Oryctolagus cuniculus: one gene and its partner. The protein of the gene in region 2 binds, or shares a complex with, the protein of the main gene of each other region. Links are inferred from orthologs where the notes say so. Each region holds a gene or a part of one and is shown on either strand. Other genes may lie near its edges.

The links. The genes of interacting proteins can lie anywhere in the genome.
Region 1: the proteins of SPAG9 (region 2) and ARF6 are in contact, whole or in part, in a crystal structure (PDB 2W83), measured with the Homo sapiens proteins. The link is inferred for Oryctolagus cuniculus from reciprocal best matches to the Homo sapiens genes SPAG9 and ARF6. Residues at the interface, in NP_001124000.1 of Homo sapiens: Lys431, Asn432, Ile435, Val438, Asp439, Thr442, Cys443, Asp446, Val447, Gln449; in NP_001654.1 of Homo sapiens: Glu13, Arg15, Lys34, Phe47, Val49, Glu50, Thr51, Thr53, Lys58, Asn60, Trp62, His76, Tyr77, Thr79.

Annotation. Positions count from the first base shown.
Region 1 is NC_091443.1:26,198,546-26,202,487, forward strand, and holds the start of ARF6 (ADP-ribosylation factor 6), read right to left. Parts: upstream 2,801-3,942; 5' UTR 2,521-2,800; coding exon 1,993-2,520; 3' UTR 1-1,992. UniProt on the Homo sapiens protein: GTP-binding protein involved in protein trafficking that regulates endocytic recycling and cytoskeleton remodeling. GTP-bound form plays an important role in the transport of multiple palmitoylated proteins form the Golgi to the plasma membrane.
Region 2 is NC_091448.1:26,795,299-26,798,798, forward strand, and holds part of SPAG9 (C-Jun-amino-terminal kinase-interacting protein 4), read right to left. Parts: intron 3,078-3,500; coding exon 2,906-3,077; intron 1-2,905. UniProt on the Homo sapiens protein: The JNK-interacting protein (JIP) group of scaffold proteins selectively mediates JNK signaling by aggregating specific components of the MAPK cascade to form a functional JNK signaling module.

The DNA.
Region 1 (3,942 bases), on a different chromosome or scaffold from region 2:
AGCAACCATAATGTTCTTAGGATGTGTTTGATCAGCTTCATTTTTAGAGATACTTTCACTAAAGTGAAACTGACTACTTTATACTTTAGTTGCATCTTGAACTCAAAAATCCCTTTGTACCAGCCGGAGCCTACAACATAGCACCTTTTCTCATCTGCTTGAAGAAAAATGCTTTGTCAAGAGTTTTACTTTGAATGGTTGATTTTTTTTTTTAAAATAGCCTTATGATTCTCAGATATCTTTGGTAAAAGCTCCATTATACAATATGGCCAAAGCATGAAGGACCAATACTGTCCAACTATACCATGATATCCCGCTCAGTTTTGTTTTCAGACACCCTCATAAACGAAACCCACTCCACTTTTTCCTGTATACTGCCTTTGCAGTCTACATTTCTGAAATTCCCTAAGTTTAATTCCTTGAGGATCACTAAAATTAATCCTTAAGGCTATATAAGAACCAGATGGTGCTTCACAACTCTGTATCAAGCATTAACATTTGGTTCAAAATACTACCATAGTGGTCTCAATCTAGCTACTGGTCCTAACTTGCTACCCAAGTAATTCTGTTAGGATCTGGATATCACCAGTGAGCACACTGCTTACCCTTGAAGAAAAATAAGTTTACATTCATTGTCATCTGTAGGTTCTCTCTTCAGCCCACTTCCCCTTTGTCATCCCTTAAGTCTACACATCCAACATTCATTCATCACATTGCCTTTCTTAAAGGAGACAGTGTACTATTGAACCAACAGGTTGTCTTACTATTTGCACGAGTTAATCCCACAATCAAACAAAATTAAATATCTTTTTTATAAAACATCTTTTCCAGTGTTCTAATTAAAGGAGATGTGGATCACTCATCTATAAAAAATGATATATCTTCAGCTTAGTCAGTTGCAGTAATGTGAAAACAGGAATGTGTATTTTTCCATCTAGGTAAAAGGTGCATATAACTTGAATCATTAAATGCTTTATTAATGAACAAACTAATGTTTCAGTAACTTTAATACTACTGCTCTTAAGACACTTGAAACAATGTATAAGTATTCCAGTTTTGCCCAAAAGTCGCTTAAAATATCTACAGATATCTGTGTGTGGCACACACCATTATTGCTCCATTTTCTGGAAGGAGTCTATTTTTGATGTTAAAAAAAGGAAAAGTTGCTAACTTTGCAGTGAAAAAAAACCTCATGTCCTTGGCGGGTTATACTTTCATATTTTTTGCAGTGTTAAGTTTGCTATGTTATGACGACCCTGGGTTTTATTCCTACTCATGCATGATGTATGTCTTAGGAGTTAATAGCTGACATTTCAAATAAGTTCTTACATTACCTGTTTAACATACTGATGTGCAACTGGAACATATTACAATGATATTACTCATTATTTGCCACTGTGGGCTAAGTTTACTTATACTGGTCTTAGGTCACATTTGAAATTACTAAGTTAGAATTCATAAGGGGGGGAGCCTTAAATATAAAAGACAAACGGCAGTTTGATTAAGCAATAATTTTCAGTTTACTAGATGAAACAGACTTGCAACATAGTCTGCATGAATGCAAAATAAGCCATCTACAGCAAGTGATAAGGAAACTGGATAAAAAAAAAAGGAAAAAAGCATACATTTGGGGGGGAAAAAGATTCTCTAGAAATAAAAAAATCAAACCATTATTATAAAGGACTTTACCAAGAACTGCTGTATTTCCCCCACCCCATTTGCTGGAAGTCAACAAGAGCACCTAGCACTTTGTGTTCATGTCAAACGTCAAATCAGAGCATCCTAACGCAAAGCGGAATAAAGAAAAGAAAAAAAAAAAAAGCAAAAAAAAAAGAAAAACCCCAACCCCCCCTCCCTAAACCGTAGAACTGTAACTCCAGAGTTCAAATTCAAAAGAAGAGAAAGTGGCGATTGAAAGAGGTGATGGTGGCGATAATCCTATGAATGGGTTTTTGATTTCTCTCCTTCCGGGGGCTGGGTGGAGAATGCTCATTAGGACTTGTAGTTAGAGGTTAACCATGTGAGCCCCTCATAGAGTCCGTCCCCTGAGGTGGCACAGGAGGGCTGCACATACCAGTTCCTGTCCCGAATCCGGGTCAGGCCCAGTTTCTCCTGGATCTCATGGGGTTTCATGGCATCGGGCAGGTCCTGCTTGTTGGCGAAGATGAGGATTATGGCGTCCCTCATCTCCCGGTCATTGATAATGCGGTGCAGCTCCTGGCGGGCCTCGTCGATGCGGTCGCGGTCGGCGCAGTCCACCACGAAGATCAGACCCTGGGTCCCGGTGTAGTAGTGCCGCCAGAGCGGCCGGATCTTGTCCTGGCCTCCCACATCCCACACGTTGAACTTGACGTTTTTGTAAGTCACCGTCTCCACGTTGAAGCCCACGGTGGGGATGGTGGTCACCGACTGGCCCAGCTTCAACTTGTACAGGATTGTGGTCTTGCCGGCCGCGTCCAGGCCCAACATGAGGATCCGCATTTCCTTGTTCCCGAAGATTTTGGATAGCACCTTCCCCATCGCGACGGAAGAGCCGGGGCCGGGGGCATTCAGGTGTCCCGGTTCCCCCTCAAGCCAACAACGCCGCCGCCGCCGCCGCGAAACCGAAACGAAGCCTCCCTGCCGCGAGGGCGCCCGTGCGGCCTGCGTGGGAGTCGCCTCCTACGGGGCGAGAGGCCCGGGCCTGCCGCTCACTCGGGCATCACCGACCCGCACAACTTGGTTCCTCCAGCCGCCGCCGCCGCCGGGGCCCTGAGTCTGCGCCCGGAGAGCCGCCGCCCTGCTGAGGCGCGGCCCGGCCCGGAACTGCCCTTCCCCCCCGCAGGCGCCGCGCGAGCGCCGCCGCCGTGCCCGTTCCTCCGCCCGCCCGACGGCCCGCCGACTACCGGGCTCGCCACCGACCCAGGCCACCCGTCAGGCAGCGCGGCGCCGGCGTCCCGTCAGGTCATGGATCCTCGCGGGAACTCAGCGCGCTGCCTGCGGAGACACAGAGAAGGAGAAGGGAGTTACCGCCGGAGCTCCGAACGGGAGCGGGCGCGGAGGCCGAGGCCGCCCGCCTTAACAGCTCGGCCCCCGGGTGTCGGTGCCGGGTGGTGGTGGTGGGGGTTACCTCCAGCCGCCGCCCCGAGCACGGGCTCGCTCCGGCCGCCGCCACCTCCTCCCAGCTCTGCCGCTGCCGCTGCCGGAAAAGGCGCCCAAGAAACCGCCTCACTTCCCCTCCCGACCACGCAGGCGCAGCGCAGGCCGACCGTTCGGACAAGAGCGACCTCTGGAAGGAGAGCGGCCCGCGCGCCCAGCGTCACGGGCGCCACGCGCCGGAGGGGGCGGGGCTACGGCGTCCCGGAGGGCTCGCGGGTGCCGCCCGCCCGAGCCCGCGCGCCTCGGGCTCTGGCCCGCGCCCACCTGTCGCTCTCGCCGCGTCTGCGCGCTCGGCGGCCCCTTCGTTCCGCGCCTCTGCCCGCCCCCGCAGTCCGGGGAGCAAATACTCCGGGGAGGTGGGGAAATGGAGCCTCCGCAAGGGCGGGGCCGCCGGACGAGCCGCCCCCACGGAGCCGCTTGCAGGCCCGGAAAGTTCGGCGGACTTCGCGCGCCCCGGGTCTCCCGGGGACGCCTTGGCCGCTTTTTAGCTTTTTCTCCGACCCCCTCCTTGGTATCGTTGCCTCTGGTGTTCAGGGTTTTCCTGGAAGACGCATGGGAGGCCGGCGCGCTCGTGTTGAACCCGCCAGTCAGTGGCGCGCCGTGGCTGGGCTCGGGTTTGCTCGGAAGCCCCTCTCTCGAACACTGGAGCCCTGTCCGTGTTGCATCAGGACCAGCTCACGTTTCTTGTAAAAGCTGGCGGTGAAGAGCTTTCTGGAACGCGATGAACTGTTCTTAGTCCAGTGTCACTTCCTTTTAGTATGGGAGCGGCAGCTGCTCACCCACCCACCCACCCGTGCTGCAGTC
Region 2 (3,500 bases):
ATTAATTATCCTGGGGTCAGTGCTGTGGCATAGCGAGTAAAGCAGTTGCCTGCAATGTCAGCATCCCATATGGGTGCCAGCTCGAGACCCGGCTACTCCACTTTTGATCCAGCTCTCTGCTGTGGCCTGGGACAGCAGCAGAAAATGGCCCAAGTGTGTGGGCCCCTGCACCAGCATGGGAGACCCAGAAGAAGCTCCTGGCTCCTGGCTTCAGATCAGCATGATTCCAGTCATTGCGGCCATCTGGGGAGTGAATCAGCAGATGGAAGACCTCTCCCTCTCTCTCTGCCTCTCAAATAAATCTTTAAAAAAATTAGTTATCCTAAGTACATATAGTACCTTAAAGATATTAGTGAGACTTTAATTTTTTAATGTTAGTTTATTTTTATTTTTATAAAGCTTTTATTTAATGAACACAAATTTCATAGGTACAACTTTAGGAATATAGTGGTTCTTCCCCCTATACCCGCTCTCCCACCTCCGCTCCAATCCCACCTCCTACTCCCTCTCCCATCCTATTCTTCATTAAGATTCATTTTTAATTAACTTTATATACAGAAGATCAATTCTATACTTAGTAAAGATTTCAACAGTTTGCACCACACACACACACACAACATATAAAGTACTGTTTGAGAACAAGTTTTGTAGTTAATTCTCATAGTACAACTCATTATGGACAGAGGTCCTACATGGGGAGTTAGTACACGGTAACTTTTGTTGTTAATTTAACAACTAATACTCTTATTTATGACGTCAATGACCACCCCATCCCAGGCTCTTGTCATGAGCAGCCAAGGTTATGGAAGCCTTTTGACCACAAACTGTCAGTATTTAGACAAGGCCATGAGCAAAGTGGAAGTTCTCTCCTCCCTTTAGAGAAAAGTACATTCTTCTTTGATGGCCCTTTCTTTCCACTGGGGTCTAGTGAGACTTTTAAAACCTTTGCATTTTCAAGATAAAGATAAATTTCTTCAGTTTTTTTAGAAAATTGGTTTTTACTGATATCATTAAAATTTTTAGTGTAGTTAAAATATACATAATATAAGCCGGCGCCGTGGCTCAATAGGCTAATCCTCCACCTTGCGGCGCTGGCACACCGGGTTCTAGTCCCGGTTGGGGCGCCGGATTCTGTCCCGGTTGCCCCTCTTCCAGGCCAGCTCTCTGCTATGGCCAGGGAGTGCAGTGGAGGATGGCCCAGGTGCTTGGGCCCTGCACCCCATGGGAGACCAGGAAAAGCACCTGGCTCCTGGCTCCTGCCAGGATCAGCGCGGTGCGCCGGCTGCAGCGGCGGCCATTGGAGGGTGAACCAACGGCAAAAGGAAGACCTTTCTCTCTCTGTCTCTCTCTCACTGTCCACTCTGCCTGTCAAAAAAAAAAAAAAAAAAAAAAAAAAAAAAAAACATAATATAAAATTTGCCATTTTAACCACTTTAAAGTGTGCAATTCCATGGCATTAATTACATTTATGTTATGCAGGCATCAGCACTGTTTCTAAACCTTTTCATCACTCATAGAAATTCCAACACCATTAAACAATAACTCCCTATGCTCGCCTCCCTCATCCCAACCTCTAATAACCTCTAATTCTATTTCTGTGTCTGAACTTGCCTATTCTAGATCTCTCAGATAAATGGAAGCATACCAAATTTGTCCTTTTATGTCTGGTTCATTTCATTTAGTAAATTTCTAGGGTTAACTTATGTCAAATACCATGTACCAGAAATTTTATCTACAGTCAATAATATCATACACCAAAAAATTTGTTAGCAGAGTAGAGCTCATATTAACTGTTCCTACAATAATTTTAAAAAAATGAAAAAAAGTCATTATTCTTTATGGTTGAATATGTGAATATGATTTCATTGTGTAGGTAAGTCCCAAACAAATTTTTTAAAATCATCTTTTATTTTTTATTTTATTTTATTTTATTTTTTTACAGGCAGAGTGGACAGTGAAAGAGAGAGAGACAGAGAGAAAGGTCTTCCTTTACCATTGGTTCACCCTCCAATGGTCACTGCGGCCAGGGCACCGCGCTGATCCGAAGCCGGGAGCCAGGTGCTTCTCCTGGTCTCCCATGCGGGTACAGGGCCCAAGCACTTGGGCCATCCTCCACTGCACTCCTGGGCCACAGCAGAGAGCTGGCCTGGAAGAGGGGCAACCGGGACAGAATCCGGTGCCCCGACCGGGACTAGAACCCGGTGTGCCGGCACCACAAGGTGGAGGATTAGCCTATTGAGCCACGGCACCAGCCCATCTTTTATTTTTTTAAAAGATTTATTTCATTTATTTGAAAGGCAGAATTACAGAGAGAGGAGAAGTCTTCCATCCTCTAGTTCACTCCTTAAATGACTGCAACAGCAGGAGCTGGAGCAGGCCTAACTCAGGAGCCAGGAGCTTCATCTAGATCTCCCATGTGGGTATAGGGGCCCAAGCATTTGGGCCATTCTCCACTGCCTTCCCAGGCACACCAGTAGGGAGCTGGATCAGAAGTGGAGCAGTTGGGACTTGAACCAGCACATGCATACGTAGTGCTGCATGCGGTGGGTTAACCTGCTACTCCACAGTGCTGGCCCCACAAACTAATTTTTAAAGTAGTATTTTAATATCACATAATATTTAACCCAGAACTTGATAAGACCTTTCCTTATTAATCAATTTAAAGTCCTTTGCCCCGCTTCCCAGTTATCTTGTCATATTACCACTGTTTTACTTTCTTCACAGTATTTTTCAATTATCTGAAAATATCTTGTTTATTCAATAGTTTTCAGTTTATTTTTAATATTCCCCAACTAGAACATAAACTCCATTGCACAACTACATCTCCAAAAGCCAAATTGGTTCCTGCCTAAAAGGAGATGTAGATGCTAGGAAAAGGGGCAGAGTGATAGTGACTCACTCTCACCTGGAACACTTGCAATGCACAGAACATGAGAATTGCAAACAGTGAAACTGTCTAGGATGTTGCCTGGTTGAATAGCATCAATGATGATAACTTTTGTAGCTGAATGTGTGCTGGTACAGATCCAGACTTGACTGGATAATTCTTCTTGACTCTTTAATTCCTTTTGCTGGTCCTGAAAAGGAAAGTAAGGAAAATGAATGAGTGAAATCAGATGCATGTACAATATTCAAAGCTTGTGCTCTGCATGGGAGACATAGAGGAGGCTCCTGGCTTCAGATCGGCACAGCTCCAGCCATTGCAGCCATCTGGGGAGTGAACCAGCAGATGGAAGACCTCGCTCTCTCTCTGCCTCTCTGTAACTCTGCCTTTCAAATAAATAAATAAATCTTAAAAAAAAAAAAAAAAGGCTATGCTAGTACAGTAAAAGGCAATACTACTTCAAATTTATTTCCAGATTATTTGTAAGAGTAAAAACACAACCACCCATCATTATTAATCAGCAGACTAAAAGTTAACAGTTAATTAGATCAGCAAGGTTCAGAGTGCCTGGGTTTGAGCTTCAGGCTCTGCTCCTGATCCAAACTGAATTGTACAC